3 linked regions of the Kluyveromyces lactis genome follow. The protein of the gene in region 2 purifies or fractionates together with the protein of the main gene of each other region. This does not show direct contact. Links are inferred from orthologs where the notes say so. Each region holds a gene or a part of one and is shown on either strand. Other genes may lie near its edges.

Region 1 (5,216 bases), on a different chromosome or scaffold from region 2:
CAACACAAGCCCTTACACAAGCAGCCTCTGAATAATACCCAAATGCTGAAAGATGAGGTCGAACCGCTATCAGAATTGAAAACCAATGATAATAATAAAGGCCCTCAAGCGGAGAGGCTGCAACAAAACATACCAATACGTCAGGCTACCATTGGAAGACGTAGGCCGCCTCCACCGGTAGATATAAGTAATTTTAGGAGACCTCTAAAATCAGAACCATCTGTTTCCACTGTTACATCTACTGGTATGGAAACCGGAACGATATCCTCTACATCACCTGCGGAAGTAAAATCTGGTAAATCACCGCAGCAGTCATTCACAACTCCGCAAGTAAGAGACCTGGAACAACAAATGGATGAACAGAACTTTCAGCCCGGCCATCAGCGTCAAAGATCAGAGGTTGAACAACTGGTGGATCATTTGGATGATTTTATCAACCAATCCAGCGCTGACGTTGAGAATACTCCTGGTTACTCGGATGGAGGGGAAATACCTCTTAGACAACTAGACACAAAAGTTGATACTGTTAGTGATGCTGAGAGCGCCAAGAATATAACACCTTTGTATGGGAGATCTGAAGCCACCGAAGATATCAGTGAATCCGATGTTAACTATTCTGATGGTGAACCGTCCATGGATGAAATGTTTTCCTTCAACGAGTCCATTAACAAAAAGAATGCGATTACCGATCTCCAACAAAGCACTGCCGCCTCATCTTTAAGTGATGTAGGAGGCATTCCAACATCCTCGCGATTTGTCGTTACAAACGCCGACCAAACCTCTGGCTCTGAATCCGAAGAAAATTATGCGGATCTGCACGAATACGAAGCGGGTTATGATCAAATGCCAGAGCCAGAACAAGAGCATGGAAGTACAGATGAAGATGATTTATATCAAATGATAGGTGGATCAGAGTACGAAAGAAGGAATTTCAGAGTAGTTAACGAAGAAAAACCAAACTTTTATTTCAATGACAGCACGAGTGAAGATGATAATTCTTACATGAATACAGATACCAATTCCATAACCGCATCGCTGGCAAGACGCAGTTCTTTATCTTCATCTAAAAAAGGTGCAGCATCTTCGTTATTAAGTAATACTGAATCTCGTCAATCTTCAGCACTGGAAGCAAAGTCCATTGATAACGACACCATCAACACGACTCCGTCATCAGAATTCAAGAAAAGTTTGACCAAGGGATCGATTCCAGATAAAAATGTTCGACTCATCTCAAGCTACATAGAAGAGCTACGGCTCTTGTACTTCCCCACGTCAAATTCCTTACAGTTGCCTCCAGATCTACCTTATGCTTTGAAGAACAAGAATACTCTTGAACAACCACAAAATATCAAAGTTACAATACGAACAAGTACTAGACAAGTCGGTATAAAGCACGGCAAGGCCAAACAGAAGCTATTATCACTTGAAACTACAAAAGAAGAGGAAGAAGAAGAGGAAAATAACAGTACTACAGGCCTCAAATTCAATACCGAGTCCACAAAAGTTGATCATACTAAGGAATTTCATACTTTGTTCAACAAGGATGAAAAAATTTCCGAGGCAGACCAAGATATTCTTGATGATATTCCTGGTGATGAGGCATACGATAGCGATGATTTAATGGCACCGTTGCGTGAGAACCCAAAACAAAGAATTCATGACGAAGTTTCCCAAACGCGCTTGAAAAGATCAGATACTGTATCCAGCTATTTCACGAGAAATGCTGGTAGAATGAGAAGCGGTACTCTAGACGTAACGTACAGTCCACAGCTACCACTAGATCTACGGAAATATAACCTGATTGAAGAATCTCAAAAGCCATGTACTCCTGCAGTACATGAAAAAGGTGACACTAATCCCAAATCTCATAAATCTAGCATTTCGAATGCTGACGATGATTACGAGCTTGACGTAGCAGATTTCGGTTACTACCGCGGTACCGCTGGAACAGGATTGCATATAACCAACCCAGATTCAGAATAAACTATCATTCAAACAATATTACTGCTGCATCTATATCTTGATCTATACGTATCTTGTACCAATGTATATATTAACGTTTCTAATACCCGGTCAAATTCATTGTTACCCGTACTTTGTTTTATGTTGATTTTCAGGACGAAAATGAGATTCTGAAATAAAGAACATGCTGTTTTGGAACAGTTCTGTTATGAAATAACATATGCGAGAACCAGGAAGTTAAAAGAAGCTACACAAGACACACAGGTCAATTGAGGTATGACAGTCGGCGTCGAACAACCTGCGTATACGTTAGTGTACGACCCCAATCCAAATGGGGTCACATATACCGTATCAGACTTCCAAAAGGCATTGGAAAAGGGGTCTGATACTGAAAAGATCGCGACCATGAAGAGGATCTTGGTGACCATGTTAGATGGTAATCCATTACCAGATTTGTTGATGCACATCATCAGATTTGTGATGCCTTCAAAGAACAAGCAATTGAAGAAGCTTTTATACTTTTACTGGGAAATTGTTCCAAAATTAGATCGTGAAGGTAAATTGAAGCAAGAAATGATTCTTGTCTGCAACGCTATCCAACATGATTTGCAACATCCAAACGAATACATCAGGGGCAATACCTTAAGATTCTTGACGAAATTGAAAGAAGCAGAACTTTTAGAGCAAATGGTTCCTTCTGTCCGTGCTTGTTTGGAATACAGACACGCATACGTTCGTAAGTATGCAATCTTAGCAGTTCTTTCCATTTACAAAGTCAGCGACCATTTGATTCCTGATGCTTGTGAAGTGATTGATTCCTTTTTGGTTGCAGAAACTGATCCAATTTGTAAGAGAAATGCTTTCCTAGGTCTTGCAGAATTGGACCGTGAAGCTGCGTTGAACTACCTACAGGACAACCTAACTTCGATTGAAAATTTGGATGCTTTGCTACAAAACGCCTTCATTAGTTTCATTAGAAAGGATGCTATCAAAACTCCAGGATTGGTCTCTCAGTATGTTGAATTGTTGCAAGATCTTTTAGTTTCTACTCGTTCTACGGATGTCATGTACGAAGCTGCCATTACTTTAACTGTTCTAACCAATAAAGAAGCTATTTTATTGACCGTAGCTAACAAGCTAATTGATTTGGCCACAAAAGAATCTGATAACAACATCAAGTTGGTTGTTTTAGAAAAAATCAACGAAATAAACGAGAAGAATCCAGGCTCTTTAGAGGATCTAACATTGGATATTCTACGTGTTTTGAACGCACAAGATTTGGATGTCCGTGCTAAGGCTTTGGATATCTCCTTAGAATTGATTACGTCCAGAAACGTAGACAGTGTAGTTAAGTTATTGAGGAAAGAATTACAATCTACTGCTGATAGCAGTAACGATAAAACTCTGGAGTACAGGCAATTATTGATCAAATCCATTAACAAAGTGGCAATAAGATTTATTGAAGTCTCCTCCAATGTTGTCTCATTGCTTCTAGATTTTATCGGTAACTTGTCGTCTGAAAGTGCCAATGATGTCATTTCCTTTACAAAACAGGTCATTGAAAGGTATCCTGAGTTAAGATCTGAGATTTTAACTACTTTGATTGAGACATTGCATGAAGTAAAGTCAGCAAAGGCTTACCGTGGTGCTCTTTGGGTACTAGGTGAGCATGCCCAATCCGAAGCAGAAATCCAGAATACCTGGAAGCACATCCGTTCAAGTATAGGTGAAGTTCCAATTGTTCAATCTGAACTGAGAAGAGTTCAAAATGATGACGAAGACGATACTGAAAAGGCCCCAATAGTATCCACAGGGCCGGTAGTTTTGCCAGATGGTACTTATGCAACCGAATCTGCTCTATCTGTCTCAGAAAAGGTCAAATCCACCTCAAACGAGGAAAAAGAAGCAAGACCTCCTTTACGTCGTTTCGTCCTAAATGGAGATTTCTTTACTGCCTCTGTGTTGGCTAACTCTATCGTTAAATTGGTGTTGAAATTCGAAAAGATTTCCAAGAACACTTCTGTAACTAACGCCCTAAAGGCCGAAGGGTTGTTGATTTTGGTTAGTATCATCAGATTAGGTCAAAGTAACTTAGTAGAAAAGAAGATTGACGAGGACTCTGCTGAAAGACTAATGACGGCAATTTCGGTATTGATGGACGAGATTTCTACCGAAGAAAGTCAAGCAGAGAAAGAACTTTTGAGTTTGGCATTCTTGGAAGCTACCAACGAATCATACAAATCAAGAGTCAATGTTACTTTGAAGAAGAATGCTGCCAAGAGATCAAACTACCTAGCCAAGCACGCCGAGGCCATCGATAAATCCATCGTTTTCAGACAATTTAAGAATGCAGGCTTGCACAATACCCCCGTCGATTCAATCGAAGAAGATATAAAATTGGCTACCACCGGTACTGTATCATATTCCAAACTACAAGCTAATTCTATCACTTCAAAATTGAAGAAGATCGTCCCATTGACTGGTTTCAGCGATCCTGTTTATGCCGAGTGTTATATCACTAATCACCAATTCGATGTTGTGTTAGATGTTCTATTAGTGAACCAAACCAAGGATACTTTGAAAAACCTACATGTTCAATTCGCTACTCTTGGTGACTTAAAAATTATTGACCACCCACCTAGCACCAACGTTATTCCACATGGGTTCCACAAAATTACGATAACAGCAAAGGTGTCCTCAGCAGATACTGGTGTTATTTTCGGTAACATTATATATGATGGTGGTCACGGTCAAGATTCTCGTTATGTCATCTTGAATGACGTTCATATCGACACAATGGATTATGTGAAACCAGCAATCTGCGATGATAACAGTTTCCGTAAGATGTGGAATGCGTTTGAATGGGAAAATAAACTTCGTATCAAATCCAAATTACCATCTTTACGCGGTTATTTAGAGAAGTTGGTGGAAGTTACACATATGAAGGTTCTAACCCCTGAAGAGGCACTCGGCGACAATGATTCCAGATTCCTAAGTTGTAACTTATATTCTAGATCTACATTTGGCGAGGACGCTTTGGCTAACCTGTGCATAGAGAAGGATCCAATCACACAAGAAATTGTTGGTGAAATCCGTATTCGTTCAAAGACCCAAGGGTTAGCTTTAACCAATGGTGACAATATTACCAGAATGGGAAGAACTATGAATATCGTTAGTGTTGATCGTGTTTGAGGTTAATAATTTGAAGACTTTGATCTCACCAATTACCTGTAATGCAATATATATGCCACTTT
Region 2 (5,855 bases):
GAGGAGAAATAAATCCACTTCGTCCAGGTTAACCGCTGGTAATAGACAAGCTACCGTCACTGCTTCGCATCTTTCCGGTGACTCTAGCTCAGAATCAGAAACGCCAATCGTTAAAACTATTAAAGGGACTCACACAAGAGCAGTGTCTGAGGCAGAAAACGGACTAATAGATAACAGTAGTGATTTTGATTTTGTTACTGACACACAACTCGATACTCCAACAGCTTCACCCCATCGTAAAACTTCGATAAGTGATAGCATAAATTTCAATAGTACTACGGATATGAATGCTACATCCTCAACAGATATTTTCCAACATAACAATAACTCCTACTACAAGTTGTAAATATGAGTGCCGTTTCGTTTCTAAACTCGTATATTATATAAACTTTTCATCGTATTAAACAAATGTATTATCGATTTTTGACTACGGGTGCACATATTCAAACAATTCATCTGAGACGTGCATATTATCCCAATAGTTAAGGAAAACTGAGCATTTTTCTAGTACTCGTGTTAGGTTTGCTGCCATTATTTTATCCGTAATACTTAAAGTTTTCCATAACTTAGTTGTGGCCACTTTATTCAATGTCCTCCAAGGTAAAGATAGTTTGTCCTGTTCTATGGTTGAAAGCTGAAGCAAAGGCGAAATAATATCTTTCAATTTTTCTGTTGCCAACGTGAGTTTGAAATTATCTTCTTTATCATAATGATATCTTTCTGAAACTTCAATCTCTTGAAACCAGGACAACTCTTTTGAGGATTTCCTTCTTGAATACCAATCGATGAGAAGTTCTTTTGTGGAAAGTTTGCTCTTGAAGTCAGGTATCTGGGACATACTTGTATTCATGTAATATGAGCTCAAACTAAAGTTAGTCGGAGCCATAGACAAATTCGGGGTCTGTAAGTATGGAACATATGTCTTTGTTTTTCGCTTTGACAGGAGAGTGATGAATGGGATTAATTTCTTAGCCATAACTTCTGACCAGGAATCAGAATAAGTCGATGCATACAATGGCTGAATTGGTATCGAATTAGATAAAGAACAAAATTCCATTGCATTTGATGTACTTATTCCATCACTCTGTAAAGATTGAAATATCGTTTGTTTGGCATCCATATCCACATCACAATAAAACAAACCGCCAACCCAAGTGTAGGGTATAAAAACATCAAATGGACGGATCGCATACTTCTTTCTTCTGGCCATTTTTAAACAATGAAAGTTCTTCAAACTATTATTGGGATTTTCCTGTTCTTTAGATTCAAAAAAACACCACGGTTGGTTCCAATCCTTTACATCATTAGTAAGTTGCTTCTCAGTTTCAAAGACAACTTTACCCTCGTTACAATAAGTTATCTTCAAAGCTTTCCCTGATCTTTTATATAGCTGGTGAAAATAAAATACCCTGTGTACTTTAAATCCAGTGAAGAGCTTTGTATCTCCAGGCAAAGAATCTACTGGAATCGTTGCCCCACTCCATATCTCAAACGTTTTCTTCATATTCATGTTGGCAGAGTTGAAACCTACCGCACAAGCTTTATCAATTGTATGAACAGGGTATAGTGCTTTCCCGTAAGCAAAATCAAAAAATAGAGCAGAACAAAAGAGAATCAACAACCATAGTTGACCTTTACTCATTCTATAACAAACCACACAACTGCTGTAGCTTCTAATAAAATGAGACTATCAAGACAAATAGCAGTTGTTCTGCTGAATAGCCTAAATCGCGCCCTTTGTCGAACAAATATAATAATTAGTAATATTCTTCAACTTTAGCTTTGAATACAAAATGGAGAAGATTGATGTAATATTAGGGGAAATAAGTCATATAGCTCGTAGTACTCTCGAGCCGAAACGGTTCAAGTTGATGCTTTATTTATGTGACACTGACACTGACATCAATATCATAATAACATTACCCGGTCCTATGCCATGTCCATCAACGGCTTTGAAAAAAAAATGTTTGAAAGGGGAATTTGAATAATAAAGATCCATTCATGATTTTAACACGTTAGTTGAAGAAAACATCGAAGGTAGAGACCCAACAGAGCGGAAGGAAATTAGCAATGAAACTTGACATCAATGTATGTGACACATTGTGTACTAGAGTAATTTGTGAGGTGCTTTTATCACGGAGAATCGCTGTTGAACGTTAGCAATTGCATATTAAGTATCTTAGGCGTTTTTCTGGTATCAATACATTTATGTTTTATGTTTTGATTCAACAGATTATATTTCTTCAGCCCTTATCAGCAACTAAAAGAAAGAGCTTTTACTAACATTTTTTTCATCTATGGTGACTTTATTTGTCTTTAGAAAAAGCTCAGTGCCAGAACTGACAGGGTTAAGGGCATTGACTTTCATCCTGAGGAACCTTGGGTTTTAATTACCTTGTACTCAGGAAGAATTGAGATATGGAACTACGAGACGCAAACGCAAGTGAGATCTATTCCATTATGTGATGCTCCAGTGAGAGCTGGTAGATTCATTGCAAGAAAGAACTGGGTTGTTGTTGGTTCCGATGACTTTAAATTAAGAGTTTATAATTATAACACCGGTGAAAAAGTGACCGAATTCGAAGCACATCCTGATTATATCCGTTCCATTGCTGTGCATCCAACGAAGCCATTCGTTCTGACAGGTTCTGATGATCTGACTATTAAGTTATGGAACTGGGAAAAGAATTGGGGCTGCCAACAAACCTTTACCGGTCATGAGCACTTCGTCATGTCTGTTGCATTCAACCCAAAGGACCCCAACCAATTTGCCTCCGGTTGTTTGGATCACACTATCAAAGTTTGGTCGATTGGTCAAGATGTTCCAAATTTCACCTTGAAAGCACATGAAACTAAAGGTGTGAATTATGTCGACTATTACCCGTTACAAGATAAGCCTTATTTGATTACCACTTCCGATGACGGTACCATCAAGGTGTGGGATTACCAGACAAAATCTAATGTTGCTACTTTAGAGGGACATATGGCTAACGTGTCATATGCTGTATTCCATCCGACTTTACCTATCATTATCTCAGGTTCCGAGGATGGAACTCTCAAGATTTGGAATGCAAATACATACAAACTAGAGAAAACGTTGAACATCGGGCTTGAAAGAAGTTGGTGTATCGCTACTCATCCATCTGGTAAACGTAATTACATTGCATCGGGTTTCGACAATGGTTTCACAGTTCTATCCCTAGGTGATGATCAACCAAAATTATCTTTGGATCCAGTTGGTAAGTTAGTTTATTGCGGTGGTAAAGCATCAGCCACTGACGTCTTCTCTGCCATCATTAGAGGTAATGAAGAGGTAGAAGAAGGCGGTGCCCTTCCTTTGCAAAGCAAAGAATTAGGGTCGATCGACGTTTTCCCACAAAGTTTGAAGCATTCCCCAAATGGTAGATTTGTCACTGTTGTTGGTGATGACGAATTCATTGTGTACACTGCTTTAGCATGGAGAAACAAAGCTTTCGGCAAATGCCATGACTTTGCATGGGGCCCAGATTCTAATAGTTATGCGTTAATCACGGAAACGGGTGCAGTGACCTACTACAAGAACTTCAAACAAGTATCTTCTTGGTCAATTCCGCTTGATTACGGTGTCGAAAAAATCTTCCCTGGTTCAGTATTAGGTGTCAAAGCTGACGGCTTCGTATATTTCTTTGATTGGGAATCAGGTAATCTAGTGAAAAGAATTGATGTCGATGCTAAGGATATAATCTGGTCAGATAATGGAGAGCTTGTTATGATCATCAACAAAGACCATGAAACAGACTCTGCTGAAGAAGCTAATGCTTACGCTCTGTTGTTCAATAAGGATGTTTACGATGAGGCGGTTTCAGCTGGAAGTATTGATGAAGATGGTGTAGAAGATGCGTTTGACGTATTATACGAAGTTTCAGAGGGTATCACGTCAGGTAAGTGGGTTGGTGATGTCTTCATTTTCACCACCCCAACAAATAGATTAAACTACTTTGTTGGTGGTAAAATCTATAATCTTGCACATTTCGATAAGCAGATGTACTTATTAGGTTATTTGCCAAGAGATGATAAAGTTTATTTGGCTGACAAAGATATCCATGTTTATGGTTATGAACTATCTATTGATGTTTTGGAATTCGAGACATTGGTACTCAGAGGCGAACTAGCTGAGGCCAAATCATCCGTACTACCTAATGTTCAAGGAAAAGAAAACTTGCTAAAGATCTCTAGATTTTTGGAGGGACAAGATTTGTTTGAAGATGCCTTAGAAATTTCACCAGACGCTGAGCAGAAGTTTGATCTAGCTATTAAATTAGGCCGACTATCACTGGCGCAAGAAATATTGTCCGAGCAGGAAAGTGAGAACAGATGGATTCAATTGGGTGATGCTGCCTTAAAGAAATTCAATTTCACTTTAGCTTTGCAATGTTATGAAAAGGCAAATGATCTAGAATCCCTTTTCTTGTTATATTCTTCATTCAACAATAGGGAAGAGTTGGTTTCATTGGCAAAGAATGCTGAGACTTCTGGTAAGTTCAACCTAGCTTTCAATGCTTATTGGGTAGCAGGTGACATAGCTGGAGCAAAGGACTTGCTATTAAAATCTAATAGGGTGCCAGAAGCTGCCCTATTAAGTTTAACATACGGGGAATCGGCAGAATCCATCAACACTGTAGTAGACGTATGGAAGCAAACTTTGATCAATGACGGTAAAGCCGCAATTGCTGAAAGAGTTGGAGTTGTCGGTAAGACAGAAGGTTTTCCATCAACGAATACACATACCTTACTTGATTTAGATACACCAAGCGAGAGCATAAAAGAAGCGGCTCCTGTAAACCATAAGTCAGAGGAGGATGTCGCAGTTGAAGAAAAAGCGTTGGATACCGAGGAAAATAAGGATGAAGATGAAGATGAAGAAGCATTCAAGGATTCATCTGAAGAGCCTCAAGGTTCAAAAGACGATGATAAACCCGCTGCAAAGGCGGAATAACTGTACGTTCCCCAACTCCTAAAAGAAAAAATGAACTACGATAAATTCATAATCCGTAAATAATGTATTAATATGCTAGTATATTAACATGAACTAAACGATTACAATCCGTGAGTCTTGAAGATTCTATCAAACTGTTTAAAATATTTACAAGTACAATTATTCCTCTAAAAACACCTTCAATTTATCTATATCAGTTTTCTTCCCGCGAGCCACGAAATACAGTTCTTTTGATTCATTTCTCGATGCATTGGGTTTGAATCTGTCGACTTTTTTGAATACCTTTTTAAGTCTCTTTTCAAGAAGGGTATCTTCGCTTCCAGCATATAATTTACAAGTGAATGAACCTCCCGGTTTTAATAGGTCGATTGCTACAATTAATGCAGCATCACATAAGTCCATCGACATATAATGATCTTTACTTTGTATGCCTGTCGTGTTTGCCATCATATCGCTAAGCACAACATCGACCGGGTATCGTTCGATGTTCTGACTGATATCTGTCTGTGAGAATAGCTCCTTATACTCCTCTGTTTCCTTCAAATGGTTTAACTCTTCCTCTAGCATGTGCTGGAGATACCCATGATCCTTATGTAATTGATCATGCTTGTTTAGCTGGATATGACGAGCAAAGCAAAGTCTGATCAATTCATGAGTCTTTTTCGATAGGATGTTAGCCTGTAACGAATACACTCCCTTTGGCGGAGTACAACGTAACAAATCAACCCCCATGATCATTCCACCTGAACCGATCCTTTTCCTCGCTACTTGTGACCAGGCACCCGGCGCAAACCCAAGATCTAAAACTTTCTGATTTTGTTTGAAGAACCGGTATTTATCATCAATGTCCATTAATTTGAATGCTGCTCTGGACCTAAAC
Region 3 (4,266 bases), on a different chromosome or scaffold from region 2:
GTAGCAAAAAATAATATGTTCCGAAGAAAAAACGAGAAAAAAAAAAAAAAAAGATGGAAAAAAAAGATGATCAAGAAATTAGAAAACATTGTTCAGAACTAGAGGTATCTCTAGTACTGTTGGGATGAATTTTTGGCGGAAAACTCGAATTCGAATGTAGTGAGGATACGGATCAGATACTGGATATGGATTTGGGCTAGGCAATTGCAATTTTCATTCACGCCGCTTTTCAAACAATTCATGTGGGGGGAGGACAATATTATTTTCCCCACAGGAAAAGTGGAAAACCGGAAAAGAAATGCGGGATGACGAATTAATGGATATTTACCCGGTGTACTGGGAATGATAGATCACGTGGTTAGAAACACTCTGGTGCGTGTTGTTTTTTTTGTCCACCTCACCTCTCTCTACTCCGCTCCACCTAGGTCTAAAAACAATAATTATCAAAGTCTGGAATGGTTTAGGGTAGGGTAGGGTAGGAACTATCCGAAAGGTTTAAATGGTTAGCATCAAGCATTGCTCCAGAAGTAACTGATTATACCTGGCGTGTTTGAGAGAATATCCCGAAGCAAGTTTTCCAAGTTTGAGAGTTTTGTTTTCAGTGGTCGAATTATGAGCGGGAAGATTTCCAGGTACGTTATTTTACCCTTAACGGGGTTCACATTGGGCTTCGGATATTTCGTTAAGCCATGGCATTTGGATGAATCAGCACTACAAACGTTACATAGACCGCTACAGGACCAACGGACCGATGTATTGGATAAACTTAGGGCCACAGAATGGGTCAAGAAACTTAAAGAGTCGTCTGATTATATGATGCATCGTCAATCGGAGAAGATCCCTGTACCTCATAGAGATTATCACGTAGGTCAAGGGTTGCTTTACGGACCAACTAAGCTTGAAATTGATCCGGTGGTGTTTACAGATAATGCACAGAACAAGATCCACGTCATATATCATTTGGGCCACAATTTAGGCAACGAAAAGAATGCAGTGCATAAAGGTGTACTTTCATTGCTATTAGACGAGGCTTTGTGTTTCTGCGGGTTCCCTACACTTCCCAGTAAGCGTGGAGTCACTGCATCTCTAGACATATCGTTCCAGAAGGATGTTCCAGTTAATTCCACCATTGTGCTCAACGCCCAGGTCATTGAAACCAAGGGAAGAAAATGTATCATTACAGGAACGTTGGAATCACCACCTCTTGATCCTTCTACGAAACTGGGATCCGTAAAGTCCTTAGTGGCTAAGAGCGTACCCAATTGGATATACAACCCTAAACCGACCGTCTACGCTACTGCAACGTGTATTTTGGTGGAACCTAAATGGTTTAAATACGTTTCATGGATTAACATATTCTGATCTAATACCACCTTAAGGTCTCCGTTATATATGCCAATAATATTATATTTAGTTCACATACTACAACATTCAATATTAAGTATACCATATGCTAGCATTGTACTGGTGCTCGGACATGATGAATACCAGTTAATTCATCATCCCATTCCCACTATTGTATTGTTTGGTCCGGGTAATAATAATACAGACTATTCATATCTGCTATTTTCTTTGACATCTTTAAATTGAAAGATCGAATTTCTAAACAGAAAAGGTTTTAACACAGGACAGAACGGTTATTCAAATTTTGGACCGTTAAGGAACGTAGTTTTTGGTCTTAGTTAAGTTTTTTACACTGCTGGTAACATCATAACAGGTGCAACAGACTACTGTACACACTTTGAGCGCGGGAGGGACACGCCGAACTTACAGAAGTATTTTTCGCAAGTTATTATTAAGGTGGTAAGAAAGCGTGTTATTAAGTACTCTGTTTTCTAAAATTGATACTTAAGAGTTTTTTCTTGCGATTGATCTAGCTTTTGAGATACGATCTGAATTTACCAGGATAATCTGCTACAGGAACGTGAATCTTTATTGCCGTATCTTAGCATCAACTTATTAACTTAACACAAGGGTGTTTTTTTTTCCGGAATTTCAGCATTTCATTATCATTACAAGAGGATTTATTTTAATTAAACCATGGCTAGCATTGACGAATCGGGAGAAGTGTACTGTGACAAGGAAGTCGTGACTAAAGTGTTTGCTAGACTGACAACCAAGTCTGAAAACAGGGCATGCTTCGACTGTGGCGCCAAAAATCCTACCTGGACTTCAGTTCCGTTCGGTGTTCTTCTTTGCATCGATTGTTCCGGTGAGCACAGAAATATGGGTACCCATATTACTTTTGTGAAGTCAAGTAATTTGGACAAATGGACTGTCAACAATTTGAGAAGGTTCAAACTTGGTGGTAACGATAAGGCAAAGGATTTTTTCTTAAAGAACAACGGCAAACAATATTTGGGTTCTTCTAGCAACCGGATGGCTAAATATACAAGCCAGGTAGCCAAGAAATGGCAGAGCCATTTGAATCAAAAAGTGGCTAGAGACGCTGAACAACATCCAGGTGAAATTGTATTTTCAGCAGAAGATGAACAAGAATTCACAGGGGGCAGTTCTGGTTCTTCAAAGAGCAACAGCGTTGATGATTTCTTCTCAAACTGGGAAAAGCCTGTAAACCAAAGTAACATATCTTTGACGTCATCTCCTAGAAATTTAACACCAACCAATACTGGCAATAGGAATGGTTCTTCTATTCTGTCCGGAAGTGGTTCTGCCAACAAAACCAGCAACGGTGCTAGATCCACTACAACTAAGAGAACTACTTTGACAGGATCAGCAGGCTCTTCTCAAGCAAAGAAACATTCCATCCTTTCCTCCTCTCGTAAGTCAAAGAAACCGGTTGCAGCCAAGAAGGTGGATGCTGATTTGTTTGATCAATTCGAAAAAGAAGCCAAGGAAGAGGAAGAATTGGCCTCAAGTCTCGCCACCACTTCCCTTAACTCCAATAATTTATCGAATTCCATATACGATGCCACTCCTGCGCCATTCCAACAAAAATCTGGTTTCAGCTCTAGCAGCAAAATAACCAAGCCATCTACCAATGTCGAAGACGCGGAGGACGACGAATGGTCCAACAGATACAATGATGGTATTACTTTCGATCAAATCAATGCTTCCAATGTAGGATTAACTGGAAGCAAAGATGCGGCAAAACCAAAGTTGGCTAAACTTGGGTTTGGTATGACTTCCAATAATGCAGAAAAGGAACAAAACAAAACTAACGAATCAAGGAGGGCTGCCTCTGGTCCAAAGTACACAGGTAAGATTGCCCAAAAATTCGGAGAACAAAAGGGTATCTCTTCAGACCAGGTGTTTTCTCGTGGAAGCTACGATGACGAGGCAAGTAAAGAAGCTCAAGAAAAACTCAGACAGAACTTCAGTAATGCCACATCTATTTCTTCAGCCTCATACTTTGGCGAAGGCCAGAGCGAAGATCAGTTCGACGAATTTGGAAGACCATTGAATCCACAAAATGGAACAAGAACAAACAGAAGCGGTTCTCTTGGCGGACGAAACTTCATGGAGTTCACGTCTGGTGCTGATGACGAATTTGACCTGTTGAAGAACGCTGTTGAACAAGGAGCGCAAAAGCTAGGAAACTACCTAAGAGATTACATGAGAAATTAATTCCTATGTTAGTTTATTGTAAGATAAAGTATAGTCATTCATCAAGGAGTTAACGTTAATAGTATCAGTGCCATAAGTTCCCCATAAGTTCCCTTCTATGAAAAAAAATCTGAACAAAACTTTATGGCTTTATTGTAATAGAAACAAATAAACAAATAGATGAAAGCTTGTCCTTAATAGGATACCCTTTTCAGTCACACATCTCTTCGTTGTACCATAATATGAATACCGCCATTATTTGGATAATAATAAATATAGGATCATTCCAAACACCCAGTGTGTAGTCAGAGTTTGAGATTTTTCAACACACCTACATTTTCCAAGGAATACCAAGTGTCTATTGTGCTTTACGTATTATTTAATGATTATTTAGTAGCTTGAGTAGCGAAATAAGGATTATGCAATCCAGTGATCATGACAATTATTGATTAAGTAGCATTTAGAAAGTTGATTTAAAGAATGATATGTTCTTGAAAGACAAGAAGATTAAGGTCGATTCGAAGTAAGATATTAACGCGTAGTCATGGGCCATAAACAAATCTTGTCATGTCGGAGGTATATCTCGTGTACAGTTCGAGAAGAAAGAGGTGAAGAAAGGAGTAAATGAAAGTCCTGCTGAACCGAAATACTAGCAACACTAGCGGTATCAGTGGAAATCGAAATGAAAAATTAATGATC

Evidence for each region.
Region 1: the proteins of SEC27 (region 2) and SEC26 purify together in Saccharomyces cerevisiae (affinity purification with mass spectrometry; 6 studies listed by BioGRID). This does not show direct contact. The link is inferred for Kluyveromyces lactis from reciprocal best matches to the Saccharomyces cerevisiae genes SEC27 and SEC26.
Region 3: the proteins of SEC27 (region 2) and GLO3 purify together in Saccharomyces cerevisiae (affinity purification with mass spectrometry; 4 studies listed by BioGRID, with this or other methods). This does not show direct contact. The link is inferred for Kluyveromyces lactis from reciprocal best matches to the Saccharomyces cerevisiae genes SEC27 and GLO3.

Annotation. Positions count from the first base shown.
Region 1 is NC_006039.1:1,328,950-1,334,165, reverse strand, and holds SEC26 (coatomer subunit beta), read left to right. Parts: upstream 1-2,238; coding exon 2,239-5,154; downstream 5,155-5,216. Other genes in the region: KLLA0_C15301g (uncharacterized protein), read left to right, coding at 1-1,983. UniProt on the Saccharomyces cerevisiae protein: The coatomer is a cytosolic protein complex that binds to dilysine motifs and reversibly associates with Golgi non-clathrin-coated vesicles, which further mediate biosynthetic protein transport from the ER, via the Golgi up to the trans Golgi network.
Region 2 is NC_006038.1:168,576-174,430, forward strand, and holds SEC27 (coatomer subunit beta'), read left to right. Parts: upstream 1-2,070; coding exon 2,071-2,088; intron 2,089-2,320; coding exon 2,321-4,975; downstream 4,976-5,855. Other genes in the region: KLLA0_B01914g (transient receptor potential ion channel family protein), read left to right, coding at 1-346; KLLA0_B01936g (uncharacterized protein), read right to left, coding at 428-1,642; MRM2 (21S rRNA (uridine2791-2'-O) methyltransferase), read right to left, coding at 5,135-5,855. UniProt on the Saccharomyces cerevisiae protein: The coatomer is a cytosolic protein complex that binds to dilysine motifs and reversibly associates with Golgi non-clathrin-coated vesicles, which further mediate biosynthetic protein transport from the ER, via the Golgi up to the trans Golgi network.
Region 3 is NC_006041.1:616,091-620,356, forward strand, and holds GLO3 (ADP-ribosylation factor GTPase-activating protein), read left to right. Parts: upstream 1-2,040; coding exon 2,041-3,588; downstream 3,589-4,266. Other genes in the region: MRX3 (Mrx3p), read left to right, coding at 613-1,362. UniProt on the Saccharomyces cerevisiae protein: GTPase-activating protein for the ADP ribosylation factor (ARF) family. Involved in retrograde vesicular transport from the Golgi to the endoplasmic reticulum.